7 linked regions of the Rattus norvegicus genome follow. The protein of the gene in region 3 purifies or fractionates together with the protein of the main gene of each other region. This does not show direct contact. Links are inferred from orthologs where the notes say so. Each region holds a gene or a part of one and is shown on either strand. Other genes may lie near its edges. The genes, in order: Abcb10, Agpat4, Slc39a4, Vps45, Lemd2, Letmd1 and Mgat1.

Region 1 (4,299 bases), on a different chromosome or scaffold from region 3:
TACTCAACAGCTCTGTCCCCCCAGCACTTCAGAAATGTGCCAACCCTTGGCATGATCTATTACAAATTAACGGCACCGCCACTTCCTCTTACTTCCAGCAGCGCCAACGACCAGACCGCCTTTACCGTGGCCTCTGAAGAACGTAAAAGCTGTCTAGAGAGCGCTCCTTCAGTCTTCCTGAAGGCAGAATATATGTGTTACCTACTTAGGAAGCCTTAAGACGTCCCAGCACTTGAGATCTCAAGCTGGAGAACCATCTGGACTAATGGCAAGACCCTGACTCAGAAACAAAACCCTGACTGTCAGTGGCAATGTGTCTGTCCCTCAGGTCACACACCTGACAGCTCAGTGAGGTAGACTGGTGGCTCAGATGATGGAAGCCGGTTCCAGTTCTAACTTAACTTAATGCAGACTCCACGGTATGCTGGCAGGGCAGGACAAGTGGGGCCAGGTGACAGGTCATAGACATGACAGGCACAGGCAGATAGGGAAGGGCTAGGTGGCATCAGCAAAGCCTGACTCCCCACAACTTTGAGATCTGAAGTTTCAGAAGCAGGAGCCTAGGTTCCTGCCTCAGCCCCTCACAGTCTGCACACACTCAGGTGACCAGGGTCTCCAGGCTCCTCCGTGCACACTGTCTGCTCCTCCATGTTCCCCCTCACGCCTGCCCCCCACCGTTGGATATCTTTTAAACCTGGGTTTGGTGGCTCACACTTATAATTCCAGCACTCGAGAGATGGACAAGAGGATCAGGAGTTCAAGGACGCCCTCAGCTACATAGTGAGTTTGAGGCCAGCCTGGATTATATTACACCTGTCTCAGTAATTCAGTGATTAAGAGCACTGACCACTCTTCCAGAGAATCCAGGGTTCAGGGTTTAGGGTTCAATTCCTGCTACTCACATAGCAGCTCATAACTGTAACTCCAGTCCCAGGGGATCAGACACACATGCAGGCAGACAAAACATCAGCACACATAATAAACTAAAACAAAACAAGTGCTCATCTAATGAAAGCAAATAATTCATTTAAAGAAATTAAAGAAAACACAGAGGAAAAAAGCTTACAAGATAGTCGAGAAGAAAAGGACTTTTTCCATCGAAATTCACAACCATCGTAAATTCTGTCTTCTTATAGTAAGGTCACAACAACCTCCTGACTCTCGTAGATGGCAGATCCCCTGTGCCCTTGCTCCATGCCCAATGGCCCCCAAAGAGGGTAATTTGTGCAGATAGGGGCTCAACAACCAACCTGAGGTCCTGCCTGTTTCAAGAGTTGTATGACAACGTCTTTCCTTTTGCAATACCCTCATGCCTATCCCATTTCATCTCGCATCCAAACGGTTTCCCTGCCTGCTAAGCAGGGATTCCCAGCAGGAGCAGGACTCCATGCCAGCTTCTCAAGGTAATCCCACAGGAGGCGGGCACAATCCACATTCATGAAAGGACTGGAGATTTAGGGATCTGGGTCTCAGTGTGCCTTTGCTCCAACCAGTCTTGCTTGCATTGGCTGCCAGACATGGGGGAGTTACAGAATACTGTCATTTAGACCCAATCAATTCTGATTTCTTTTTAAAAGCCATTTGTCGATCCGGGTGAGTTTCTGTCTAGTTTCTTTATGCCGTGGCTAATGCCTGGTCCTGACCAAGCCATTTAGGGAGGTGACAGCCAGCACGAAGTTCACAGTGCTCAACTTCATCCTGTTAATTTTTGGTGGTTGCCTTGATACTGTGTAACCCTAGCGATTTTTTTTTTGGTTTTTTTTTGTTTGTTTGTTTGTTTTTCTTTTCTTTTTTTTCGGACCTGGGGACTGAACCCAGGGCCTTGCGCTTGCTAGGCAAGCGCTCTACCACTGAGCTAAATCCCCAACCCTCCTAGCGATGTTATTATTATTATTATTATTATTATTATTATTATTGTTGTTGTTGTTGTTGTTGTTGTTATGCTAGGCAAGCGCTCTACCACTGAGCTAAATCCCCAACCCTCCAAGCGATGTTTTTATTATTATTATTTTCATCATCATCATCATCATCATCATTTTAAATGTATAATATAAAGTAGGCATGGGTTTTGTCAAAACTTGTGGTGTTTTTTTCCTTAAAGGAGGAAACGCTAGCTTATTCAGAGAATGCACCAAAGCAGTCGCTGACAACAATTTTAATATTCTGGTAACAGGCTCTACAGATGGAGAGCGTCAGCCAGCTGGGAAAAGGCATCCATAGCCTTCCAACAGGTGTCAGCAGACCTGATCGCCCTTGTCAAGGCCGAGCCCAGGCCGGGGCCCACCGGCCGCCCACTGGTCTCCCCCAGGGTTCCTACCTGACAGTCTCCCGCGCTCCGGGCGCACCAACCCCAGGAGCTTCCACACTTCTGAGCGCCCGGTCGTCGCGGGCCGCCGCTGCGAGTCGTTCCCAAGGTCTCGCACACCGGTGGCCGCTGCTCCCTGGAGCCTGGCGAACAGGGGATGCGCGGCGCGGGGTCCTGCCAGCACCCAACACCTGCGGATCCCCGAGGAGGTGGCCCACCGTCCCACGCCGCCAGGCAGCCCCGAAAGGGGCACGGGAAAGCGGAGGCCCGGGCTCGGCTCGTGGATCAGAGAGGTCCACGCGCGTACGAGCGGAGTCCACTCAGAAGCCAACCATGTCCGAGAGGAGACGGCCGGGGCCCAAGCTCGCACAGCAGGGCCCCGGCGCGGAAACAGCAGCAGCGCCCTGGCAGGAGGGGCGCGCATGGCGCTGCGTCTGCCCCGACAGTCTCACCAGCCGGCCGGGCCGCAGGACCCGGGACCCTCCCGGCCCGGCCCGAGCACGGGGCGGGGACGCAGCAGCGGCCCGCCCCTCCTGCCCCATCGGGCGGGCGCCCGGGCCGCGCCTTCCGCCTCGCAGGGTCCACCCCTGGGCGGCGACCAGCCGGTAGCTCCCCAGCAATGCCTTGTCTAGGCTGCAGTCGCCAGCGCCTGCGCCCGCGAGCCGCACGCGGAAGCTTTTTCGCGCTCCTGCGCCCTCCGCGGCTTGTGAACCTGGGAGCGTCCGAGCCCTTTCTGTCGCCGGCCACTGCCGAAGTGCGCACGCGCGGCACTCTGGTCGCAGATTATGGACCGCGCTTGAGACCTTTGGGTACCTCTGCCTTGGATACGGTCGGCGGACCAAGGAGACCAAGGCTTTTTATAGGACTGTGCAATGTAGGAGCTGCTGCAGAGGCCGGGAGAGTAGAAGTGGCCCCTCGAGCAGCACGGCGGGCCGTGGGTATCCTATGGAGGCCTGGAGTGAGGAAGGGGGAGAGTTTGTGGACTCCTAGATAGTTCGCTCGACCAGAACGAAATGCAATGGAGCCACTGGAGTTCAGCCGGGCACACGCTTTTAATCACAGCACTTGAGAAGCAGAGACAGGAGATCTCTGAGTTCGAGGCCAGCGTGGGCTGCATAGTGAGCCCCTGTCTTTAAAAAAGGGGAAAGGGAGAGTCGCAAAACAACCTCAACATCAATCAGTATTTTAGTTCAATATATTCCTGAAACCCAGCACGAATGGAAAAAACTCTTAAGGAACAAAACATCAGACTTTCAAACGCATAAGTCTCCGAATTTGCAGGATTCTTCCTCTTTTTACCCCAGTCCCAACCCTGGAAAAGTCATTTATTAAAATAGGAAGTGGGAGGGTAATACAGCCTTCACTTCATGAGTACCGGGTCACTTAAGTTCAGAAAAAAAAGAGACAAGAAAAAACAAAACCAACCAGTAAGCAGTTGTAGTTTATGTTTTTTATTTTGTTTTGTTTTCCTCTCTTAGAAAATTCCCCATGTTTGGCCCAGACATTGAGCACCCCTTTAATCCAAGCACCCAGGAAGGAGAGGCAGGTAGAATGGAACTCTTTGAATTTCAGCCCAGCCTAGTCTACATAGAGAGTCCCAGGATAGCCAGGACTACATTAAAAAACAAAGTCTCAAAAATAATAAGAATATAAGAATTTTCCATATTTGTCTGGATCCTGAGACTTCAGCATCTTTGTATGTTTTCACACTCAGACAAGGGCCTCACCTGCATGTCAAGTTCCGAGGTGGAGAGGTGAGCATCACCACGAGAACAGGTTGGAGCAGTGGGAAGTCCTTTACAATGCAGCCCCGAGACCCAAGAAGACTTGAGTTTTCTTCCCATTACTGCAGGAATTCTAACCCCGGGGAGTCGCAGGGTGAACTGAGTTTGAGCCAGCCTGCTCTACAGAGTGAGTTTCAGGACAGCCAGGGTTACATAGTGAAACAATGTCTAAAAGAAAAGAAAAAAAAAAAAAAAAAAAAGACCCTGCGG
Region 2 (3,500 bases), on a different chromosome or scaffold from region 3:
GCAGTGTGGGTCATCCTGTAATTCCTGAGCCCGCCAAATGTAATTTTTGCAAGATCCGGTACATAGAACCTTAAAAAAAAAAACAAGTTTTAAGTTCCAGAAAAAAAGAGCTTAATTTGCCAGTGGAGGCTTTGTGTTTGGATCGGTTTGCTCTCATCGTCAAAGCTTTAAGTAGGAAGGTGACAGAAACCAAAGAAACTGAGGACCAGCAGGAATGTCCCTCCCTGTCACCCGGAGTCTGAAATCTAGTGTGGACACAGGACAGTAGGCTCCCGGGAGGACTATGAGCCCAAAGACTGCTTGGTTTCCAGGGCGAGAGGCACAAGAGCAAGATCATCTCCAGAGTGAGTCTGGCAGTTTGCCCCATGCTGGGTGTAGATGTAGGTGAGGCCTCCTCAGAAGTCTACCTCAGGGTCCCAAGCACGGTAGATATGATGACAGTATGGTCTTAGCCACAAGACACCAAGTGGAAGACAGCAAAAGGGGAGAGAAGGGAGGGGCGGTGTGAAACCTCTGCTCTTCCCCTCCAGGCAGCGAAGGCTCAGGACCTGGATAGACAGCTGCCTTCAAGTGTCTACACAGTCAGTGTGGGTGGGCATCCATCTCAAGAGTCAGAGATCGTCTCAGTCGATTACAAAGTGGAGGGTAAAAATCCGAATGGTGGCAGTGGTCAAGGCGCTGAGTGGGTAAAGGGCTTGCCATGCAAGTATGGGGACCTGAGTTTGAATCCCCCCAACTTCCGTACAGCTCAAGACACATAGTGTGAGTGAGTGTCTGCAATTCCACTGCTCCTACGGGGAGGTGAGCGGTGGAGACAGGAGAATCCCCAGATACTCGTGGGCCAGCTAACCTGGCTTATGCAGCCAAACAAACAACAAGGAGGCGCTGCCTCAAACAGTGCAGAAGACAAGGACTGATTGTCCTCTGGCCTCCACTTGTACCATGGTAGGTGTCAGCATTCACACACATGAATGTGCAACCCCCACTCGCATGCATGTGTGCATGCACACACACATACACACACACACAGAGAGAGAGAGAGAGAGAGAGAGAGAGAGAGAAAGAGAGAGAGAGAGAGAGAGAGAGAGAGAGAGAGAGAGAGAGAGAGAGAAAACAAACCCAGCAAGGTAAGAGTCATTTTGCATCCCCCTGACTTCTTGCCCCATTAGATTCTAAGTTCCCCACCCCACCCCTGGTGCCCACACAGTGCGGTCACAGGAGTTGCTGGGGACCAACCGCAGCTACCCCAACCTGAGGAGATTGGCTGCTTCCAGCCTCAGAAGTGAGTGGCAGAGATGAATAGGGAATCTATCCATTTGAGCCAAGTTGACTTCCCAGCTTCCCCTGCTTCCCATGGAACTGCTCAAACTCTGCTGGCCTCCACTCGCTAGCCTGCCAGTGCCGTGAGCCTTGCTGGCCTTGCCTGTATGAACTCGGTGGCTTTGCTGATGTGCTGGTCTGTGGCACGGCATTATACAGACCTGCCGGACAGAACCTCAGGATGGGCTTGGCAAACACACAGGTGTCGATAATCTGGAGGGCCGTGGTCCGTGAGGGTATCCTCACACCTCTGTGCGTGTTCACAGACCCTTGTCATGCAGCGGTCCACCCAGTGGTGGGCATGACCTTTCCTCAGGTCAGTGCAGTGGGAAAAAGGAAGGGCTCCAAGCCTTTGGTATGACTGGCCATTCCTTCCCCATGAGAGCTCCAACAGCTATGTCTCCTTCACAGACACCCTAAGGTTCTTCCTCTATTTCAGAACTCCAAAGTCCTGGCCAAGAAAGAACTGGCTTATGTCCCCATCATTGGCTGGATGTGGTACTTTGTGGAAATGATCTTCTGCACACGCAAGTGGGAGCAAGATCGGCAGACGGTTGCCAAGAGCCTGCTGCACCTCCGGGACTACCCAGAGAAGTATCTGGTATGTAGGCAAAGGAGCAGTGTGCTGTCTGGCTCCTGTGGCATCATGTGTGGCTACCACACATAGGAGTCACTTCGGACTGAGTGTGACCTGGAATTACATGAGACCTGAGGGATTTGTGGGGCACGAGGACACTATGGGGACTGACCTGGAGTCAAGTGTGACTATGAACATCTTTGGGACTGTGGCCTCCAGTTGAGCTTGGGGTTGCGTGACCGTGGAATCCCCCTGTGTGACCAGCATCCTTTGCTTTTCAGTTTCTGATCCACTGTGAGGGCACACGGTTCACAGAGAAGAAACACCAAATCAGCATGCAGGTAGCCCAAGCCAAGGGGCTGCCCAGCCTCAAGCATCACCTGCTGCCACGCACCAAGGGCTTTGCTATCACTGTGAAGTGCTTGCGAGATGTTGGTAAGGATGCTGGCTAAATGGGGGATCTTTGAAGCTAGGTGGAACCTGGGACGAGAGGCAGGGCACTTCATATTTCTAAATCCCAGTAAATACTCCCCTCTGCTGGTCAGTGGCAGCACTGCGCTGTGCGTGCAGAAAGTGCAGGATCCTTGGAGGACAGAAGATCGCCTGGTCATGGAGCTGCAATCTTTGAGGCCCTCTCTTGCTTATTTATTGCTGATAACCACCTGCAGATGATCTGATCTGTACAGACCCATGAGTCTGGAGCCTCAAGCCAGTGTAGCTACCAACAGAAGGCAGCGACTTCCCCCGTTTTCTTTTTACCCTTCCTCTTCAGTTAAAAACATATTTGTTTTCCTATGTAACCCCTTTCTCTCACATCCCTACTCCCTGGCCCTTCAGCTCCAAAGGAGGCTTGACGTCTTACCTGAGCTGGATAGGACTTGACACTGCTTCAAGTGTGAGGCACCACAGAGCCAGGCAGGCCTTCCTAGAACTTCATGTCCTAGACCTGCCAAGAGAACGCTTTGTCCTGAAGGAAAAAGTGGGCCAAGCAGGCCCTGCTGTATTGCCAGAGGCAGGTCAGGTGTGGCTTCTGGCTCCATGCTGCTAGCTTCTATAGCCTTGTCTTTATCTCTTGTGAGGGGGGATTTATCCAGGGCGCCAAGGATATCAACAGGTTAAATATCTTCTGGGACAGTTGCCCACCTTAGGCATCAATGCCCACCAATAACAGGGAAAGTGGTTGGGTCTTTAAGGACAATGCCTCTAGACACTTCTGCAAGCCAGCATGAGGACCCTCTCCCATAGGGAAAGATAGTGGACCTACAGACCTGTAGTGGGGTTAGGCATTAAGGAAAGAAATGGATGGCGATTTTATCACATTTGAATCCTTGTTCTTCATATTCCAAGTGATCCAGGGACGGTATACAATTTCTGTGATTTCCCCCACTACTTTTACTAACACTAACTGTAGACGTGTAAAGCTGCCCAGCTACGGTCAAGATCAGTGTTAGTGCAGTGGGCTCTGCCTGCACGTGTGACTGGCACCTGTCTCTTCAGCCCTGTGTGATGATGGCATCATAAGCCCACTCTCCAGAAGATCTAGGTTTGGAAGACTGCGTGATGCAGCTAAGCAAACTGCCCACTGCTGGGAAAAGGCGGCTGT
Region 3 (4,173 bases):
GGTAAGGTCTCCCCTTTGAGGGAGAAGTCTAGGGAAGCCAGATCAATCAAGTCTATACTAAGACTTCTCCCTAGGGGATAAAACCAACCTGCTTTCAGCCCCCAGCAGCCCAGCAATGAAAAGGAATAGGAAGGGCAGTTTGGGTGGATGGCATCTTCAGAGTTACCTGTGGGGAATGCTCTCATGTTGGCTCTCCCAGTTCCCGGCCACAATTCCTCCACAAAAGCAGGAGGGATGCTGCATTGCAAGGACCCTAGCCATTATTAACATGGACGTGTGTATGTTTGGAACAGGTCTTTAGCAGTTGACCCCTGAGCTCAAGGATACTCAGCTAGATTCTTTCCCCACCCTGCCCTACCCTCCAGAATACTAGGTGACAGAGTTCTTTAGTTATTAGGCTCATATCCAACCACACCCCAGAGGGCTAGAGTTCAGGACTGGTATGAACCTGCGTGGAAGAGGTCCACAGTACCTCGGGGGCTACTGGAAGCCCTCTTCCAGAAGGCCAAAATGCCTCGTGGCTTCCAGAAAGCCAAAATGCCTTGTGACCTGGGGATCTTAAGCTCCTGGAAATTCCAACCCCTCCTTCAGCCTGCCACCTGGATAGAGATAAGGCTCAGGGGTCAAAGGCCGGAAGGATCCGTTGGGAAGGGTTGGGAAGGGGCACGGCTGGGAACTGCAGCCCTACCTCAGTCTTCTTGTGCTCAGGCTGAAGGGCTCAACCACAGGGCTTCAAATTCCTACTGCTCAATTGAAACTCCTCAAAGCCCCAAAAGTTGGCTAGGACCAAGGTCACATCTTTGCTTCCTGTTTGTCTAGGTCAGGGCTTCAGCCATTTCCTGGAGATTTTCCCCCGGAGGGCTGGGGACCATGACTCAGCAAGTATCTTTCAGAATCTCCCACTGTAGCCCATGTTGGACCCAGAGGAGCCAAGAACACGGCACCCCCACCCTCGGGCTACAAGACTTGGAATTTGTCTAAGCTGCTTGAGCTGAGAGGCAGCTGGTGAAGGGTGGAGGTAAGCCTAAGGGCTCTCCTGAAAATGTCAAATAGAACACCCTTGTTTGACTTGGTAACATCTATGCGCTCAAACCCCTAATCCGCAGCTCCAGAGGCAAGATAACAGAAGGGGATGATCCGGGCTCTTCAGGGAACAGAGAAAGCCCCGACTGGCGGTTCAGAGTGTGACAGGCTCAAGCCGCCCACCTAACGAAAGGGACCCACCTTTAGCTCCAGCCCCAGGAGGCTACAGCTCCTTGCCCCTAGACTTTCAGGGAGGATCTGCCACTGGAATGGCTAACCCAGCAGCCAATCACAGAGCCCTGCAGGAAATATCTGGGAGAGGTCTTGTAGCTAGGGTCAGGCGAGTTGAACCCAGCTCCAGTCTGGCCCCAGGCAGTCCCAGCAGTCTCCTGCTAGCCCAGAAGCCAGCACCACTGCAGGGAACACTTTGGGAGCGTGAGGCATGATGCTCCCAAAGTCGCTCACACAGGGGCTCTTGTTGGCGATGCTGGTGGGCACAGCAGCAATGGTCCAGCCCTATCACCTGCTCAGCCTACTCACCTCGGGCCAGGGTGCTCTGGATCGAACGGCACTGGACGGCCTGTTAAATACGCTGGTGGCCCGTGTGCACTGCACCGACGGGCCGTGTGAAAAGGTAACACCCCCACCCAATGGGTCCCCCAGCCCCGGCCCTTTCCTGCCTGCTCCACCCTGTGGCAGGCACTAAAGAGAGCTGGGCAAACTCCAGGAGGCGGGTCTGGAGGCTGGTGTCTGAACCTGCTGGCAGGCTGGAGCCTCCCTTCCGTTTCTGGGGGGCTTATACAGGCTTGGCCTCCCTCCTGGGACACGTAGTTCTCATTCCCCCCCAGGGTATCAAATTTGCCTTGACTCTAAGTGACTACTCTCACCTTCAGGATCAGAGAGTAACTGCTGGGGACCCCTTTGTGTAGGCTCCTAGTCAGGTTAACTGTACAAGCGGCAGAAGGGGACATAAGATAGAATCCATTCCCTGCCTAAGCCTGGTGGGCCCAATCTAGCCCGGACCCTGTCTACCTGTTTGTCCACAGTGTCTGTCTGTGGAGACTGCCTTGGCTCTAGGCAAACCTGATAAGCCACAGCTTGCCCCAGAATCAGTCCTGGAGTCCAGATACATTACTTACCTCAGTGCCGCCGCTGCCCTCTACCTCAACGACCCAGAGAAAACATGCAAGGACATCCGAGCTGGCCTCTTGGCCTCTCATGTGGACGATTACCTGGCCAAACTGGAGAGTCCAGAGGCCATGACCCTGGGTCTGAGCCAGCTACTGCAGAAGATTGAGGCCCATGATGCCAGCCAACCCACCAGGGAGGAGGTGAGGGCCCAGAGGGCTTTCAGAGTGTAGTGACAAGGACTGTGTAGTACCATGGAAGGGAGGCTACCCCAGGAAGAGAAATGTCCCACGTGCAACCTCATTGGTGTCTGTGGAGATACGTGGGTGGCTAAGTGTATTGGGTACACTGTTGGGTAGGATGACTTCCAAGGGAGTCTGGGGGAACCCTTTGGGGAAATGGCGGTCAGGAAGGCTCTGGGGCAGAGGGACGTCATAGGCCACAGTGAAGGGAGTGACTAGCTGGGGCAGCCTAGGTTTATGGGATAGGTGGCTGGTATAGGGATATAGTCTGAAGTCTTTGGTGAAATCTGGGAAGTTGTCTGAGGGGGTTGGGGGATTGATGGGAGACCCATCCAGTGAGTGGACTCCAGAAGTTGTTACTGAGGGTGGAGCTGAGGCCTGTCTCTCTTACAGACCTGTGTAGATGTTCCCCAACTGCTGGAGGAGGCTGAGGAAGCAGGGGTTTCCAGAAGCCCTGGCCTGGTCTTGACAGCCTTGCTGGATCACGTCCTTAATGGATCCTGCTTCCAAGGCCTGCCTAGCCCTCAGTACTTTGTGGACTTTGTGTTCAGGCAACTCAGTAGTAAGCCTCGCAATATCACGCTGCCCGGTGAGGCCTAGTCTGTGATCATCAGCCCCTACTCCTGGGGGAGGGGACAAGGCTGGCGCTGAACGCACTGACTGGACTGACTTTTTTTTTTTTTTGCCAGAATTGGAGGATTTGATGCATCACCTTGGGGTGGGTGGAGAGGATCACAGTGACCATGGTGACCATGTTGACCACAGTCATCTGGACAGGGAAGCCAACCACCAAGACTCTGAGCTCCATGCTACCCACAACAGCAGCTCCAGTGTATGGGACACGGTGAGTCACTCCTGCCGATCTGGAGGAAGGTGGGCTTCCATGGGTCTGCTCAGATGCCTGATGCCTGTCCTGCTCTCTTTGCCTCCAGCTGTGCCTGAGTGCCAAAGATGTAATGGCTGTGTATGGGCTATCTGAAGAGGCCGGGGTGAGCCCTCAGGCCTGGGCCCAACTGACCCCTGCCTTGGTCCAGCAGCAGCTAAGTGAAGCCTGCAGCTCCAGTCCCATTATCCATGTACAGGACCAGCTCAGTCAAGCAGAGAGTGAGTCCCTAACCCTGGGTGCTAGCCTCATGGTATTGAGCTCGACGAGGGAGCAGGGAGTAGGCACTGAGGAATGAGGAACCAGCAAAGGAGGGACAGATAGTGGATTTCAAGGCTAGAGGGCCAGTGTAAATAGATACCTGGCACCTGCTGACAGCCCACAGATCTGTTGAGATCCGGCTCACTTCCTGGCTGGACTTGGGCATTGGCTCTGTAGGATCTAGGGGGAATCTCAGTGTAGCTTCACCCACAGGGTATCTGTATGGCTCTCTGGCCACCCTGCTCATCTGCCTCTGCGCTGTGTTCGGTCTTCTGCTGCTGACCTGTGCCAAATGCAGCACAGCCACCCACTACATCATGCAGACCTTCCTAAGCTTGGCTGTGGGTGCACTCACAGGCGATGCTCTCCTGCACCTGATACCCAAGGTCAGCCCTCACTCAACAGGGTCCTCCCACCCCCACTGTCCTTTCCTAGCCCCAGCCTAAAGCCCCCTGTATCCCTGAAGTCCCCAGTCGGTACCCACCCCCTTCTCAGGTGCTGGGATTGCACACGCATAGTGGAGAGGTTCACTCCCACGAGGAGGAGAGCATTGGTGGACAGTCCACCTGGCGCCTGCTGGCTGTACTTGGAGGCTTCTACATTTTCTTCCTGTTTGAGAGCTTCTTCAACCTCTTA
Region 4 (3,500 bases), on a different chromosome or scaffold from region 3:
TGTGTGCACACCAGAACAGGCTTGTACTTAGGAAGTCTTGGAGTTCTAAATCGGATAGAAAGAGAAGTCATGGAGGCAGCAGGAGGGAGCAGAGGGGCTGATTCACTGGGGGACATTTTCACAGTTGGGGAAGAGTCAGTTTGTGCTCCTGTTAGTTCATGAGAGTTCCTGGGCCCTGCTTTAAACACCTTGGTCAGTAAGACTGCGCATGACTGGGAGAGAGAGAAGAGGGACCAGAGGCTGAAGGAGGGCTTCTAATGCTCTGTCTGAGAGACCTAGGATTCGGGAACTAATAACCAGCCTTGGGCACCAGGTAAAACTTGGAAACTCCTAGTCACTTATTTATATGCTATAGGATATGTAACATTAGCATTATACTCTTACTTTTCCTTCTTGAATAGTTCAGCGTTCTTGAATACACTTGTCATAATATTTGATATATTTATCACTTACATGAAAAGTACTGTCTTCTTAGGCAACAAATTAAGTAATTTTGAGTTTTCAAAAATGTTCTAGGTGATAGAACATATAAAAAGAGTGATTTCTTCTAAATCATATTCTCCCATACAAGGAAACACTTGGCATTTAATGTGGTGTATCCTACAGCAGTGTTTTGCTTTTTACTAATTGCAAGTTTACCTTGGTGTGTATACTTGAGCATTTGTCATTGCTGTATTTATAGTAGTGCAATTGCACCATACGACCGTTGCTACGCACTTACTTGAACATCTTGTACGTTATCGCCTTCCATGTTCCCATTCGGAGCTCATAGCACTCAGTATATCGGCGTCTATAGCCCTTGAGACAGCTGCAGCCCATGCACTGACCAATCTTGATGCTTTTCACTTGCAGGAATTTTATGGAGATTATATTGCTGTGAATCCACATTTGTTTTCCCTCAATATCTTGGGCTGCTGTCAGGTATGGAAGGCCAGGATTTTCAAAATAAGTTAATCAAGTGGAAATTAATTCAACAAGCAATGAGTTAAGAGGAAAAAGGTAAAATATTTTCTTTTAATATGTTTTTAACAAAAAGGGTCGAAATTGGGATCCAGCCCAGCTATCCAGAACCACTCAAGGGCTGACCGCTCTCCTTTTGTCTCTGAAGAAGTGTCCCATGATTCGTTATCAGCTTTCATCAGAGGCTGCAAAGAGACTGGGAGAGTGTGTTAAGGTACAGTAGTCCCTATTCCCGGTCCTAAACCCTCAATGTCTGTCATTTCCCTGTAATAGTTAAGCAAATAAAAGAGAGGAAGAAAAAAGGAAGGAAGCAAAAGAGGCAATATGTTAGTTTCATTGGCAAAGAAGTATGGCTATATAATTCAAAATAATAAAAAAAGAAGCAAATTAGCACCATTACCTATAGGTTTAATATTAAGAAATATTCACAGCTATTTAACTTTAGGGGCCCAACTGAATCACTTGTAAAGTAGGGTTGCAAGTCCTGACTTTTTCCCCCTTGGAAATAGCTAGGTTTCTTATTAATGTACCATTTATAGCATCAGATCCAACAGCCCCCTGCCCCAACAAGGAAGTTGAAAAACATTAACAGAAAGAGCATATGCTGGATAGGCTAGGGAGTCAGAATCCTATGATGCCATCCCTGCCATCCCTGACAGCCCTGCCGGCCCTGCAGGCCCTGCAGGCCCTGCTTTGGGACCCAGAAGAGAGTATGAGACGCTTCAAGGCTTCCAAAGCCTCGGGGAGTCCAGGGTCATTTTGGGAGGAGTCCTCAGGGTTCTGCTTTGCGGAACCTGATGGGTATGTTGTACCTTTCCCAATCCTTTTGCCTGAGGTACATTAAACTAATTCCTAGGCCAAGGTTTGACCTGTAGCTTCTGACAAACTGAGACGAAAAGTGCTTTCCCTTGACTCCAGCTCAGATGTGCTAGCCTTGGACAACTGCTTGAGCTCCATCTCACAACTTCGATATAGGAACCAAGTCCTAATGTCTCCTTTTGTCATTCCGAGTGAGTCAGACAAAGCCTCCAGAGCCTCCTCATTAGGGCTGGGGTCAGCCTTGAAGTGCTGTATTAGCTGCAGGAACAGCTCAAGGGTGAACCCAGAGCTGCTATATGTGGAAGACAGACTGGGATTTGTCTCCATCTTGTCTCTTCTCTCATGGCTGCTGCCGATTTGAGTGTCCTTGAGGCCCTAGTCTAGGATTTTAGCTAAAATCCCACTTCCATCAAGTCCCGACTTCTTAAATAGCATGCTACAAAACTCTATGAAGGTTTTGAATCCTTTTATGGGAGGCCCATGAGGGTGGGAAAAGTACTCCATGTGTGTCCGATTCTTGTCCTCTCTGCTTGCAGCCAACTGCTTACCCAGACCACTCTCTTCTCTCACCCTCAGCAAGTGATAAGTAAAGAGTATGAACTCTTTGAGTTCCGGCGGACAGAGGTTCCTCCACTGCTTCTCATTCTGGATCGCTGCGATGACGCCATCACCCCACTGCTCAACCAGGTGTGAGCCTTTGTTAGCAGGAAGAATGGGTAGGGGTGGCGCTCATTAACAAGCAACCATGGAAACCATCCATTCTTCCCCCTTGCTTTCAGCTATTCTTGGTTTTTGCCTTACATTCTCTGGTGTATTGGTGCCCATCTCTCCAGCCCCAGTCATTTGTGCTGGCTTCCACCTCTTTCCTCCTGTCCTTCCTGCTGCTGTCCCTCTCTCAGCAAGGCCACCTCAAAGCTCTGGACTCCACTTCCTAGGGTCTCCTTTTCTGGCCTTACTGCTCGAGCGTTGGTCTAACCCCAATCTCTTGCAGTAACAGTGAAACAGGCATCCATTCAGTTCCTTCTTTTGATTTTTCTTCAATCTGTATTCTACAAAACCAAGGTTGTTAATGACCACCCTCAGCTTACAACTCCTGGCCTAAAAACCTTTGTGTTCCCACTTACCCACTGGGTTAAAAACAGTCTCCTGATGTTGGTACCCAAGCACATTCGGGGTGTGTACCCAACTGCACAGAAAGCCAGAGCTTCCTGCTACAGAGTTCCTTGCCATTGTGCTTGTGGTGTGACTGCTGTCTAAGCACAGAGACCTCTGGGATGCCTTCTCTTCGCCACCTTACCTATCAAAACTGTTTTCTCTTGAAACCACTGAGAAACCTGGGAGCAGCTTTTTTTTTTTTTCTGGAGCTGAGGACCGAACCCAGGGCCTCACTTGCTAGGCAAGCGCTCTACCACTGAGCTAAATCCCCAACCCTGAGAGCAGCTTTTTAAAGACTGCTTCAACAGACAGGGTTTACTTTCTCCCTCAGGTTGTGGAGAATTTGTCTCTTATGCCACATGCTGAACTTGCCAAATTACATCTTTGGTTTTTTTGACCATCTTGGGTAACACTCCTAAGGTAGCCTGTGTCCCCTCATGCTCATTCTGCTGCAAGTTAAGCAGTTCCTTGTATGTAGCTCTGCCGTGTGGTGATTGTGGATTTAGAGGGGAAGCTCTCTTTCCGTGTCAGTTTCTCTCAGCACATAGTTATGGCAGTGCCAAGGG
Region 5 (4,283 bases), on a different chromosome or scaffold from region 3:
GCTAACGACAGAAGGCAACAGAGCTGAGGCTGTAATTTTCCCAGCTGTGTGGCCGGCACTGAATACTCCTGGGGTTTAACAAGCGCAAAACCATGAAACTCTGACAGAGGAGCAAGGCCCAGGTCTAGGGGAAGGCAGGGAGGAAGGTGAGGGAGAGTGCAGGGAGATCTCGAGGAGGTGGCTGGGAAGAGAATGAGGGAGAGCTGGAGCCACTATATTGCTAGGAAAAGGAAGGTGATGAAGGATGTGGAAGGAACAGGAAGGGGAAGAGAGTGAGGGCAAGGCTGTGAACTGTGTTTGTTTCCAGTTGTCACCACTTTCTCTGACCCTTCGTTAACCAAATCACTGCCCCCACCCCCAAAGCTCCCAACACTGCACAGATTTGGCCGAGGGAGGAGGCTGTTCCAGACCCTGTCCTGAAGGTCTCTTCTAATCCTCACAGCAGCCCTCTAAGGGAGATATGGGAAGTCGGCTAGAAATGTTAATTGGAAATTATCACACTGAATGGTTGCAGGTTGGAAATCAAACGGCGAGACTCTGCAGACCATCCTCTAAACCGTTGTACTGACTATAGGTCTTCCCGATCCCATCTCCCATGAGAATTCCACCAGGTACCACAATGCCTCCTTTTACCAGGCTCATCCACCCACAGGAACCTAGGGAACAGTTATCTGCCGCTAGGAGTCCAGAGTATAGGAATCCGCCCACGGGAGTTCTGGGCTTGGGGATATTTGGGTCACCTGTGATCACTGTGGATCAATCTGTCCCAGAGCTGCACTTTAAAACTATATATATTTACTTTTCTTTTATGCATGAGTGTTTTACGCACATGCATGTGCACCAGCCACTTAGGTACTGGTGCCCAAACCTAGTTCCGGTCCAAGTGCTCCTAAGTGCAGCGCCATCTCTCCAGTCCCAAGGGTGCACACTCTTGATGTTTCATTGTTCACCAACTGCGTGCCTGAGGCTGGTCTGAAGCGGTCAACCTAAGGCCTCCGAGAACATGCCAGACGGACTCTGCACCACCCAAATCTCACACACAGCCCCCCACGCCCATCCGGAGACCCGCAAATGGGCTGGATCTCTACTATTGGCGGAAGTTTTCTTACACCGTCGGGCAGCTCATCCATTAAGTAAATCAACATTTTATTGAATGTCTACCACGTGCTAGCACTGCGTTAGGATAAGCACTGCTAGATCTAACAGACAAAGGTAAACTAGAGGGCGGGGGGGAGAGATGAAAGCACCCGCGAGCGCACAGACACCGGTAAAAAGGTAACCAACCCAACCCTTTGGACCTCACCAACATGGCGGCTCCAGGCCGACACAGACATTTTTCATCATGGCGGACAGACCCTTCAGGCGCCGCCCTTCCCAATATGGCGTCCAGTGTTGACCTTCCCATCATGGCGCGCGGCCCCGCCCGCTCCGCCGCGGCTGCCGGCGGGAGCAGTTCCGGGTGCGGTGCGCGCCGGGGGCGGGCGAGGGGGCGGTGTCCTGGCCATGGCCGGCCTGTCGGACCTGGAGTTGCGGCGGGAGCTGCAGGCCCTGGGCTTCCAGCCAGGCCCCATCACCGACACCACTCGCAACGTCTACCGCAACAAGCTGCGCCGCCTGCGGGGCGAGGCCCGGCTGCGTGACGACGAGCGGCCGCGGGAGGAGGCCCGGCCGCGGGGCCCGGAGCGTCAGCGGGAGGAGGCCCGGCTACGCGAGGAAGCGCCGCTGCGCGCGCGGCCCGCCGCGGCCGTCCCGCGGTCGGAGCCCTGGCTGTCCCCGCCAGCCCCGAGCGCGGCTTCCGACACCCCGGGGCCTTACGGCAACTTCGGGGCCTCCGCCGCTCCCTGGGCCGTGAGCCGGGGCCTCTCCTACCCGACCCACACCGGGCCCGGGCCGCTGCGGCGCCGCGCCTCGGTCCGGGGCAGCTCCGAGGACGACGAGGATGCGCGGACGCCCGACAGGGCCGCCCCGGGCCGGGCCCGCCACTGGTGGGTCGCGTCGTCCGCCTCGGCGCGGCCGCACTCCGCGCTCCTCGGCGCCGACACGCGTCCCGGCCTTAAGGGTCAGCGCACGGGCTCCGCGGGCGTGGTGCGGGCCCGACCCGAGGCGGGCCGGCGGCTGGAGCGCTGCCTGTCTCGGCTCCTGCTCTGGGCCAGCCTGGGGCTGCTGCTCGTCTTCCTGGCCATCCTCTGGGTGAAGATGGGCAAGCCCTCGGCGCCACAGGAGGCGGAGGACAACAGTACGTCCCGGGCCGGCGCAGGGGAGGGCCCCGGGCACGGGTGTTCGCCCCCCGCCCCAGACCACCGAGTCCCCGTCGCGCCTTGTGAGCCACGACCGTCTTCTCACCTCCAGACCCTCACTTTCCGTCTCCACTTTCTGCTCTTTTCTGTTTTCCCCAGTCTTTCTATAGAGTCTCCCTTTCAGCCACTGCAGGGAGCAGGTTCTTCATGGCCTCTGGGGAGGAAGCTCCACGCCCACTCAGACAGCCCACCCCTCTTGTCTTCCTCCCTTTTGACTTCTTGCTCGTTCACACTTGAGAGACCCTCTGAAGGCTCCAGATTACCCCCCCCCCCCCAGATTCTGGGAATGCCTGCTCTTGTGGTCCCAGCTTTGTAGCACCAACACTGGCTCATTTGTCAAAAGGAGTATGGGCCTGCCTGTGGCACAGGCGTGGGAGAATTCCTTTAAGCTTAAACTGGTACCACTGGGGTGCTTATGGGGCTGACAGCACCCTCGGGCTGTTCTGGGAGAGGACCTCAGGCAACTTACTAGACATCTCTGCCCACACTCAGATGACTCTGCATCCCTTGAGTGCCTCCTGAACAGCTGAGGACTGGTGTCTCCCAAGAAGGATTTTTGCCTCTTACTCTTGGTTCTAACAAAAGAAGAAAAACACTTCATTTTTATGAAAGTCCATCCCCCTGGCATAAGAGACTATAGTTAGGGTCCGTCTCCCATACGTCAGGCAAGCATGTTGCCACCAAGCTACAGTCGCTCGCTAGCTGACTTTTGAAAACTACTTTGAAGCAGGGCCTCCCTAAATTACCTAGGCTAACCTCAAACTCACTCTAGTTCAGGATGACTCCAAACTATGATCTTGCCCTACCTTCCCCCAAGCCGGAATTATAGAGCAGAATCGTCAGACCCCGATCGATCGTTTTGATACAAATATAGGTATAAAATGACAGCTCGTTTTATTTTTGAAGCGTGCCCGTGGTTAACACTGTTGCTAGCCTCGAGTCAGGGTCATATCTTCCCCCACTGAGGAGTAGCTGAAATACCGGGCCAAGCTCAGCCGTTGTCTTAGGTGTTGTGAGGAATGGAGGTCTGGGCGTGTGCGAGTCTGTTCTGCTCCATGGCTGGAGCTGTTAGCCACCCTGGGAATAGTTTCCGGGTCTGCTAGAGGCTAACAGAGGTGAGTGCTGGCAGTGCTCAGGGGATGTCGTATAGCGTTGGGTGCTGCTGTCTGCTTACGATGTAAGACCATCTAGAGTTCCCTCCTGTGATAGCATTCATTCTTACTTGACATACCGTCGTTCACAGCTCGTAAAATTTTTCTGTATCTTGTCTTGTTTGAACCTAACTCCCCAGTTAAGCAACAAAAGCCGCTGGCTGGCTGGCTGGCTGGCTGGCTGGCTTCCTTCCTTCCTTCCTTCCTTCCTTCCTTCCTTCCTTCCTTCCATCCATCCATCCATCCATCCATCCATCCATCCTTTCTTTGTTTTTGTACTTGTTTTATGTGTATGGGTGTCTTGCCTAATGTGCATCTGCACCACCTGCATGCAGTACCCATGGAGACCAGGAGAGGGCGATGGTGACTCCAGAAATGGAGTTTCTGGCGGTTGTAAGCAGCCGTGTAGATGCTGGGATTCAAACTCAGGCCTCCTGCAAGAACAGCTGAGCCACCTTCAGCCCTTGTTTTGTTTCTTGAGACAGCATCCTCTCTGTACCTCAGGCCAGCCTCAGACTCGTGGCAGTCCTCCTGTGTTAACCTCCTGAGTGCTGGCCTTACAGCTGTACATAGGAAGACCCATGCAATTCCATTTTCAGGACCAGAAACAGAGGTTAAGTTACCCAGGAATCGGTGGCTGCTGGAAAGGCCCTAATTACCAGTGTCCTGACCCAGCATGAGGAACCCTTGGGTCTTGGAGCCTGCACTGTACTGGCCACTGACAGATGGATCTTCCGGTCTCTACCTTTGTGCCAGCCAAGTTTTGCTTCCCCTGGGTCTTGAGAGGTCTCTCTGTTACCCAGTCCCACTTTTAACCTTTCTCTTTCTTTTCTTG
Region 6 (4,281 bases), about 23 Mb from region 3:
CTAGGAAGCGCAAGGCCCTGGGTTCAGTCCCCAGCTCCGAAAAAAAAGAACCAAAAAAAAAAAAAAAAAAAAAAAAAAAGAAAGAGGGTCCTTTCTCTCTCTCTTTTCCTTGCAGGGTGTTCCAGGCAAGCTGGCCTCTGAGATTCTCTCTCTTTTCCTTGCAGGGTGTTCCAGGCAAGCTGGCCTCTGAGATTCTGGAGATTTTCCTATTTCTACCTCCCATCTCCCCCATTGGAAGGCTGGGATTATAAATGTATACACTCAAGGATGGAGGTGAGGGACTTAGAAGCTACCTGAGAACGGAGAGAACCCATCTTTTGGTTACTGTCTTATGGTTTTACTGCTGTGAACAGACACCGTGTCCAAGGCAACTCTTATAAGGACAACATTTAATTGGGACTGGCTTACAGGTTCAGAGGTTCAGTTCATTAGCATCAAGGCAGGAGCAGGGCAGCATTCAGGCAGGCATGGTGCAGGAGGAGCTGAGAGTTCTACATCTTCATCTGAAGGCTGCTAGTGGAAGACTGACTTCCAGGCTGCTAGGGTGAGGGTCTTAAAGCCCACATCCACAGTGACACACTTGCTCCAACAGGGCCACACCTTCTAATAGTGCCACTCCCTGGGCTGAGCATATATAGCTCATAACAGTCACTCTTTATCCTACCTACCTCATCTACCCAGTACTTGCACTGTACAGCTTTGCATCTGTCAAAATCACCAGCCCTCCCAACATCGAGACATTCCACAGACCTGGAAGTCTTTGCAAACATTTCATCCTTGACTTTTCACCGAATTCTACAACCCAAGTACGTTCCACAGGAAGTACACTGAGGCGACAGGTCCAAGGTACCACGCACTAAACCTGGCTTCAGACACATGGTTTCAGTGTGCTTCGTGTCGGTTAAAAGGCCTACGGGCACGAGAGGGCCGTCAACTCTCGGCTGGACGCCTAGAAACCCTTCCAAGTAGGCATTATGTGACAAGGGCACATGAGACCCAGAGAGCGAGGGCTGAGGAAGAGAGGGGATGTGAAACATCCTTCTTGGGTTCCACACTGGCCTCCTGATTGACGGAGAGCGGAGGCTCGCTCCCGCTGCCGCTAGAGGGCGCTGCGCCTACCGCATCGCCGCCACTAGAGGGCGCTGCGCCTCCCGCGTCGCCGCTACCATCGGGGCCACCGCCCCGGGCACCCACAGAGGTCAAGGCAGCGCTTGCCCGTGGCCCCGAGGCCCCAGGGACCGACGAGGGCACTGGGTCTCTCAAGGAGACGCCGTCCTCGGCTCACCATCGCTACCTCAGGCCGGGTCCGCGCGTTCCCTCCGGGAGGCCCGCTTCCGGTCCTGCGGGCGGAAGCGTCGCTGCGTCCTATCCGGGTCCCGGCCTGGGCTCGCACCGGGGGCGCCGGGCGGCTCGTAGCCGCCTGTCAGCGCCGAGGGGCGGCGCGTGCGTGCTTCGGGGCGCACTCTGACCCGGAGACGACCTGTCTCCCCTCTCCCTCCCCGCCTGTGAAGATGGCGCTGTCCAGGGTGTGCTGGTCTCGGGCTGCTCTGTGGGGTTCGACCGTCGCCCCTGGACCCTTTGTCACCCGGAGGCTGCAGTTGGGCCGCTCTGGCCCTGCGTGGCGAGCCCCTCGGTGAGGGCCCTGGAGAGAGAAGAGCATTTTTGACGTAGAAGCCCTTCCAGCGGCTCAGCCTCCGCCTCTCGGGATCCCACGCCTTGGGCCCTGGGTTTTGCTTTTCCACGCTGGATCCCTACCGAACGCCGGTCCCCAACCCTCCCTATGCTCTGTGTCCTGAGATCTCCCCGCACATCCTGAGCTCATCCATCAGCTTCCCCTCCCCATCTCTGCATGGCCTCAGCTCGCATTCCCCTGTCCCCGCAGGTTGTGCGCGCACTCCACGCTCACCCCTCTGTTCACGGCTTTTCTGCACGATCTGCCTTTGGTCTCAGACCAAAGGGCTTGAGTTTCCAGAAGGGTCGAGTTCCGCCCACGGGAACTCGTGTTGTTTTATAGTAGGGGCCCCAGGCACGAAGTGGCTTCTACTAGTTCGCAGATCGTCTCTTTGGTCTTCCTTGTAGGTCTTCAAAGCTTCACCTTTCTCCAAAGGCGGACGTGAAGAACTTGATTTCTTACGTGGTGACCAAGACGAGGGCGATTAACGGAACGTACCACCGTTTCTTGGGGCGTCACTTCCCCCGCTTCTATGCCTTGTACACAACCTTCATAAAAGGTAAACGCTAACATCGAAATCCCCGAATCCGCTCTCCTGGCAGCGTTAGTTACAGTCAGTGGATGTGCGGGGTCCACTGCAGCGCTGTGAATTGGGAGGCCTTCTCTTCCTCCAGCGTTTGAGCAGTAATTCTTACAAATTGTCATGGCCACCTCTTAAGTATCTAGAAGGATGTTATTAGGGTAGACAGGTCACCTCTTATCTGACATCACAGGAGAGAGCAGAGGAGATATATTCTAATTTCCTTAGAAATTCCTTGTCCTGCACAAGAGCAGGGGACTGTTATCATAAGAAAACCAGATGTAAATGCTTCTCTTTAAACTTCAGCTTTTTAACACCAGGGCGTCACAGTCAATTAACCCCACATGTTCCCCAACCAGATATTAACTTGCTGCTTCCTGGGGCAGTTTAGGTAACTTGTAGTGGAAATAGAATTATATACACATGGTTTCCGGGTGTTTCAGTTCAAAGCGGAGGTCCGCCAGCTAGGTTGAAGGGATGTGAAGTAATGTCACATGACCCTGGAACCAAGATGCCTGACTCAAATCCCCATTTGTGATTTAGACTGTGCACTGGTGGTGGTGACTTACATGGTCTGTCCCTTTGGTTTCTCATCTATAAAGAAGCAATAGAAGCTGCCTACTGATTACCTGTTTATGACTATTACTTAGTTGTCTAGAAAGAGTGTAGCCCAGGCTGGCCTGAGGCTTTCTGAGTCATTGATGACCTTGAACTAACGGTCTCCCTGCCTCCATGTTCTGAGTGCTGGGATTACCATGCTGAGGCCCCACACCTAATGGCAGAGATTAAACCCCCACATTTAAAATGCTTGGAACATGGCCTGACCTATTTTAGTATGGCAAGCTCTACACTAAGTGCCCAGAAAGTGTTAACTGTTACTATTGTATTCTATACTTTTACCCACTAATTAAAACAATAGACTGTTGCCAACTTTGAGTGTTACTGTAATTAGTTAGCTTCCTGGTTACTTTGTCTGAAAAGTGGAGGTAGGAATGGCTGCCTTGCCAGCTATGGTGGTTCTGTGTCTCCAGCCCCACAACCCAGCAACCCAAGGCAGGAGGAGCGGGAGTTCTAGGCCAGCTTCAGCTACGTAGCAAGATCCTGTAGAAACAAAAACAATAAACCCCCAGAAAAAAATATTTAATGGCCACCAATCATATATACGCATACATGCCCTGTATTATTTGAAGCCAATCTAGGTAATATTTCGCTCATAAACCTGGGAGCATTAAAGGTGATTTTATTCATTTTATTTGTGTGACTGCATGTATACATGTGTATATGCCTTAGTGCTCTCTGAGTCAGAAAGTGCTAGATGCCCCGGAACATGAGTTCTGGATGGTTGTGAACCACCCACCATGTGGGTACTGGGGAACTGAACCCAGGTCCTCTGCAAGAGCAGTAAATGTTTTAAACCTCTGAGCCATCTCTCTAGCTCTGGAAGCATTTAAAAAAAAAATAACTAGATAAATATAAGGATTATCATAGATTGAAGATTCAGAATGGAATCATAGCCGTATGTCAAATTATGCAAATTATAAACACTCCCCAGGAAGCAGCAAGTTAATATCTGTCTGGGGAATACATAGGGTTAGTTGACCATGCTGCCCCTGTGTTAGGGAGCTAGACTTTAAAACCAAGCATGAGTAAGGAACTCTTCCACAGCAGATCATAATTCAGCTGGGTGATGTGTCGGGGAAGGGATCGGGAGCTTCCTTGTTGGTAGTGCCGGGGAGGGGCTGGTGTGTGTGCATGTGCGTGACCACAGTAGGAGATTCAAACCGGGATAACACCACGTTCTGTCCTCCACTTTAATGGGGCAGGAATACAGATGTTATGGGCTGATGCCAAAAAGGCTAGAAGAATAAAGGCAGACATGTGGAAACAAAATCTAAAGTTTCATCAACTCTCTTACCGGGAGATGGAGCATTTGAGACAGGTACGGGCCAGGGACAAACACCCAGAAGCTCTGGGCGAGGTAACTAACCTGGAGCTCAACTCTGCTTCTTTCTCTTCCTGTCGATCAGTG
Region 7 (4,185 bases), on a different chromosome or scaffold from region 3:
GCCAAAGCAGTTAGACAGGAAGCCGGTCAGAACACAGTAACTCCCCACCACATCTATCTCTACAGACCTTTGTTTAAATTCCAAGGCTCACAAGATGATCCCCAAATGCAAAAAGGCTACCCCCCCCCCGACAAAAAGGGTACAGCATAGAATTGGGATTGGGTAAGTTTTTACACAGGAGTAATAGAAAGCATTTGGTCTAAGTAACAAGAACATGTCAGGACTGAGACCTCAGGTTCTACAGAGGTTACACTGGGGAAGAAAGTAAGAAATGGGAGCTGGGTGTCTGGACGCTGGGGATGAGCCTGGGATCAGATTATGTGCAAATGGAAAAACAGGAAGATCAAGTCACAGGATAACAGAGAATTAAGACGTCATATACTTGCCTGCCTACTGTTCCACCACCAAAAAGTAAAAACTTCCAGGAAATCGCCCCTCACAAACTACAACTTAGATACCTGAAAGTGTTTACAGTTTGGAAAGGATTCATGCTCTGAATGTCTGAAGAGATCTTGGCTTAAAGGCATAAGAGGAAGCAAGACCAAAGTGTTAAACTAGCATTTTAGTATCCTTTGTCATTCCTCCTAACATGTCTGTCCCAAACCAGTGATACGGAAAGGAACTCAAACTTATTAACAGTAGACCACTGAGCAATGCCTCTGAAACCCTTCATTAGCTACCTGCGCTTCCTTTTAGAATAAAGTAAGGTCTAAATAAATCCAGTTAAAAATCCCCATACAATGTGTGATTAAATTTATCACCAGTCCTGGCTAACAGCCTGACCTACTTGAGTGTGGTACCCTAGCACTCTGGTGACCTCATGAGAAGGTTTGAAAGAAATGTCTGACAGAAGAGTCACCAGGCTCTGGCAGGTGAGAGACTCTAGCTCAAGTTAAAGAGGAGAGGACTTACCAGAGAGGCTGTCAGGGCACCTAGTTTCTCTCTCCCTGGCAGGCTGATGGTGAAGTCAACTCAGCCCTCAACTGCACAAATGCTATCAACATATGCCATACCCCTTAGGTGAGCTCTTCCAGCTCAGGGCTTCCACGGCTCCTCCCCAAAGTAGAAAAACATGCTCTTCCTTAAAGGCAGAAAGCAGATAACAGACCTGACACTTTGGATAGCATACTCACAATCAATGTAACACACCTCGGTGGGCCAGGAGGGTCTCCTCAGTAGGATGAAGAAAGTCTTCTAGAACATATCACACCCTACAGGTGGCTAAGGAGGCATTGCCATAAGAAATCACGATTCCCCTACATAAGCAAAGATTGGCAACTGTGCATTTATTGAGGGAGAAGGGAGGGTGACACATCCAACTACGATTCATGCGTAGAAGCCTGGTCTGTCCAGACAAGAGAAAGCTCGGAGCCAGAAGACCTACTCAGGGCAGACAGCCCAGCCTTCAGGCCACTGAGAAAAGACAGGGACTCCTATGACAAGAAGAACAGTCATTGTCATCGGTGACTTCGACGTCTCTCTGTAATTGACTTGAAGGCTCAACGAGTCTAGCTAGCCTTGGCCAACACACGCTGCCTCAAATTCCTACTCAGTCCCTTGCCTTTCGCTGTTGACTTTACCACTAGGAAAAGCAGGCACCTTAGTATAAGTAAACTTTAAAAGAAAAAAAAAAAACATTCAAGGAAGGAGCAGGTGGGTACTTAGATGACTAAGGACAAACTTGCTTGGGTTATGAACAACCTAAAGAGAAATAAAAGCCCAAGAGATATCAGTTTGGAGGCAGTTGTCACTGCCTGACAGCAGACTGGGATATGACAGGGGAGAAAAGGTCCAGCACCCACTCCAAGAAATACTTAAAACGTCTATCTCCAAAGCTCACAGGATCCCTCAATTTGTTTCCCTAAACCTGTCCACCTTTATATAGCATGATGAAACAATCGCCAGGCGGTCTCCTTTCATCAGTTATGTCTGCTATGGCTCCAGCCAACATGTTCAGTCAATACAAGAACGAACTTTCATCCAGGGCTTTTCTATGTGTTACAATAAACAAGAAACCAGGAAAAGTCAATGTTGCCGTTTTATATGTACAAGGCCCAGGGTACTTTCAAAATGCAAAATTATTCCGTTTGTTCCTAGTAGCAACCTGACTGAAATATCTTCTTGTGTGAAAAGAACAGGACAGAGATAATTATCATATCTCAAGTTGCACATTGACCAGGAACGTCTGGGCTAGACCACGGATTTTACTGTTCCCCAAACTCAAGCTCTGTTTTTTTGTTCTTTCCATGAGATTTCGTGACCTAAGCTTTCTTACTGGGGAGGAAGGAAGCGAGATCATTTAGTAAGTTATCTAACCATTTCCTATCCTCCAGCTCCCCTCTCCACCTCCCTTGAAAGTCTTATTCTGTTAACAGATTCCCAAAACAGAGCAGTCAGCACCGGCCAGAGTCATCCACTTCAGCCTTAGTCCAGACGGATTTGAAATCCTATTATCTCACTGGAGGAAAGGCTTTTAAAGGTAACTAATCCAACAGTCCTCCAGAAGCCTGATTTCCTTGCAGGCTCTCCTTGACCTAACCTCACAATCCTTTACCAGCTATTCTCTGGAGCCTCAGTAAGGAACGGGAAAGAACGACTCTGCCACCCCCTGAAAGAGTGAAGTAGGGTGCCGCTTCCTGTGCACCATCAGGATAAGGGTTTGTTCTCATCAGGACACAGGAGGTGCCATGACTTCCGACATGGCTGCGTTCCCATTCACATTTCCTGCACAGCAACAAGGCGCTAAGTGAGACAGTAACAAACTTACCTTTCTTTTCTTCTCTCTGTTGCTTCCCTGGAGATCAACGCGCAACCCCCCCTCCCACCCCCCTGCCTAATACTTCATTTCCAAAACTGAGAATCAGATCCACCAAAGTACAGCTTCTCTCCACTTATCCAAGTCCAAGGTCCATGGCCGTGTGGACCGTGATGGGGAGGAGTCTGGGGGGGAAGGGGTGTGTCCGGGCCCCTCCCCCCCCACGGCTGACTTCAGTGTCCCTCCCAGGTGCGCGTTACATCCCTTCATCCAGCTGGCTTTTAAAGCTCAGAGGCTAGTGGTTGACAGATTCCAGGGACTGTGGCATCCCTTGCTGAGGCAAGAGAAAATCATCCACTGGTCCACTTGTGTTCTGCTGGGGATCAGAAGAAACAGGCTTTAACACCGACACGGCCCAGGCGGCTGATTTCTGTGTGAACCTGCGGAACATTTAAACAGTATGACACTCTAATCTAATACATGCACAAATGGACTTCTAAGACTTCCATATTTACTACACTCCTTTACCATGTTCAGTCAACAAACTCTAACTACTCCACACAATTTGTATATAGAGTATATACTGTATCCCCAGCATTTCGAGCATGTGTGTTTATGTGTTTGTGATATGCCTATTCTCAGTACAGAAATGTTAACCAAAAATACTGTCAGTATGGGAAGACTGTCTTCTAAAAAAAAAAAAATACAGAAAATAGGGTCTACTGTTCTCTAAAACACCACTTACTAATCCTATCTCTCAAGCTCCTCTGGGAGTTCAGTGTTTTAATCTCCTACCTCCTGTCAACTGGACTAAATCCTACCCAGACCTAGCCTCAGGCATTCTCTGCAACCCTCACCTCCCCCACTGTTTCCAAAACTATGCCAAGGATGTAATTCCCAGTTTCTTTCAAACTCCTTCACAGGGCCACTCCTGAGAGCACTCTCCTGGAATATTGGAGGCCTGTGTCCTGCTTGTAGTAGCCCTAATTTCTCAGTTTGAGAGCCCTCCCTGTTGCCCCATCCCCTATGAGTGTGTACACACACACACACAAACACACACACATAAACACACACACACACATAAACACACACACACACACAAACACACACACACATAAACACACACACCCCTCTTCCTGTAGGGGCGTGGCAGACACATGACACCCCCCCCCCCGAACTTAACTCCTCCCACCCTTCCCTCCCGAACCCCGCGCTCACTGCTCAGCTCTCAGCGTTCTTACAGCACGGTGACACTGAGACCCTCCCTATACTCAGAAACCTCCCTTCCGCTGCGGCTAGGACTCAGTCCCTTACTGCAGACTGCAGGGGCTCCTTACCTGGGCCCCGCCCATCGGTCCCGGCTGGGAGCCTCGGCCCTCCCGGCTCCAGATCCAGGCCGGGGCCGGGTCCCAGCCGCCCGCAAGCCCCAC

The links.
Region 1: the proteins of Slc39a4 (region 3) and Abcb10 purify together in Homo sapiens (affinity purification with mass spectrometry; 3 studies listed by BioGRID and IntAct, counting the BioPlex papers as one, with this or other methods). This does not show direct contact. The link is inferred for Rattus norvegicus from reciprocal best matches to the Homo sapiens genes SLC39A4 and ABCB10.
Region 2: the proteins of Slc39a4 (region 3) and Agpat4 purify together in Homo sapiens (affinity purification with mass spectrometry; 3 studies listed by BioGRID and IntAct, with this or other methods). This does not show direct contact. The link is inferred for Rattus norvegicus from reciprocal best matches to the Homo sapiens genes SLC39A4 and AGPAT4.
Region 4: the proteins of Slc39a4 (region 3) and Vps45 purify together in Homo sapiens (affinity purification with mass spectrometry; 3 studies listed by BioGRID and IntAct, counting the BioPlex papers as one, with this or other methods). This does not show direct contact. The link is inferred for Rattus norvegicus from reciprocal best matches to the Homo sapiens genes SLC39A4 and VPS45.
Region 5: the proteins of Slc39a4 (region 3) and Lemd2 purify together in Homo sapiens (affinity purification with mass spectrometry; 3 studies listed by BioGRID and IntAct, counting the BioPlex papers as one, with this or other methods). This does not show direct contact. The link is inferred for Rattus norvegicus from reciprocal best matches to the Homo sapiens genes SLC39A4 and LEMD2.
Region 6: the proteins of Slc39a4 (region 3) and Letmd1 purify together in Homo sapiens (affinity purification with mass spectrometry; 3 studies listed by BioGRID and IntAct, counting the BioPlex papers as one, with this or other methods). This does not show direct contact. The link is inferred for Rattus norvegicus from reciprocal best matches to the Homo sapiens genes SLC39A4 and LETMD1.
Region 7: the proteins of Slc39a4 (region 3) and Mgat1 purify together in Homo sapiens (affinity purification with mass spectrometry; 3 studies listed by BioGRID and IntAct, with this or other methods). This does not show direct contact. The link is inferred for Rattus norvegicus from reciprocal best matches to the Homo sapiens genes SLC39A4 and MGAT1.

Annotation. Positions count from the first base shown.
Region 1 is NC_086037.1:68,877,404-68,881,702, forward strand, and holds the start of Abcb10 (ATP-binding cassette sub-family B member 10, mitochondrial), read right to left. Parts: upstream 2,801-4,299; 5' UTR 2,730-2,800; coding exon 2,318-2,729; intron 1-2,317.
Region 2 is NC_086019.1:51,083,472-51,086,971, reverse strand, and holds part of Agpat4 (1-acyl-sn-glycerol-3-phosphate acyltransferase delta), read left to right. Parts: intron 1-1,759; coding exon 1,760-1,921; intron 1,922-2,178; coding exon 2,179-2,332; intron 2,333-3,500. UniProt on the Homo sapiens protein: Converts 1-acyl-sn-glycerol-3-phosphate (lysophosphatidic acid or LPA) into 1,2-diacyl-sn-glycerol-3-phosphate (phosphatidic acid or PA) by incorporating an acyl moiety at the sn-2 position of the glycerol backbone.
Region 3 is NC_086025.1:110,215,403-110,219,575, reverse strand, and holds the start of Slc39a4 (zinc transporter ZIP4 precursor), read left to right. Parts: upstream 1-1,373; 5' UTR 1,374-1,465; coding exon 1,466-1,657; intron 1,658-2,069; coding exon 2,070-2,354; intron 2,355-2,786; coding exon 2,787-2,982; intron 2,983-3,082; coding exon 3,083-3,237; intron 3,238-3,325; coding exon 3,326-3,497; intron 3,498-3,750; coding exon 3,751-3,923; intron 3,924-4,032; coding exon 4,033-4,173. UniProt on the Homo sapiens protein: Selective transporter that mediates the uptake of Zn(2+). Plays an essential role for dietary zinc uptake from small intestine. The Zn(2+) uniporter activity is regulated by zinc availability.
Region 4 is NC_086020.1:186,291,678-186,295,177, reverse strand, and holds part of Vps45 (vacuolar protein sorting-associated protein 45), read left to right. Parts: intron 1-852; coding exon 853-921; intron 922-1,036; coding exon 1,037-1,174; intron 1,175-2,355; coding exon 2,356-2,466; intron 2,467-2,487; exon of another isoform or gene 2,488-3,500. UniProt on the Homo sapiens protein: May play a role in vesicle-mediated protein trafficking from the Golgi stack through the trans-Golgi network.
Region 5 is NC_086038.1:5,295,350-5,299,632, reverse strand, and holds the start of Lemd2 (LEM domain-containing protein 2), read left to right. Parts: upstream 1-1,483; 5' UTR 1,484-1,503; coding exon 1,504-2,236; intron 2,237-4,283. UniProt on the Homo sapiens protein: Nuclear lamina-associated inner nuclear membrane protein that is involved in nuclear structure organization, maintenance of nuclear envelope (NE) integrity and NE reformation after mitosis.
Region 6 is NC_086025.1:133,461,676-133,465,956, forward strand, and holds the start of Letmd1 (LETM1 domain-containing protein 1), read left to right. Parts: upstream 1-1,481; 5' UTR 1,482-1,511; coding exon 1,512-1,633; intron 1,634-2,079; coding exon 2,080-2,231; intron 2,232-4,075; coding exon 4,076-4,191; intron 4,192-4,281. UniProt on the Homo sapiens protein: Plays an essential role for mitochondrial structure and function, as well as thermogenesis of brown adipocytes.
Region 7 is NC_086028.1:34,065,024-34,069,208, reverse strand, and holds the start of Mgat1 (alpha-1,3-mannosyl-glycoprotein 2-beta-N-acetylglucosaminyltransferase), read right to left. Parts: upstream 2,801-4,185; 5' UTR 2,768-2,800; exon of another isoform or gene 1-2,767. UniProt on the Homo sapiens protein: Initiates complex N-linked carbohydrate formation. Essential for the conversion of high-mannose to hybrid and complex N-glycans.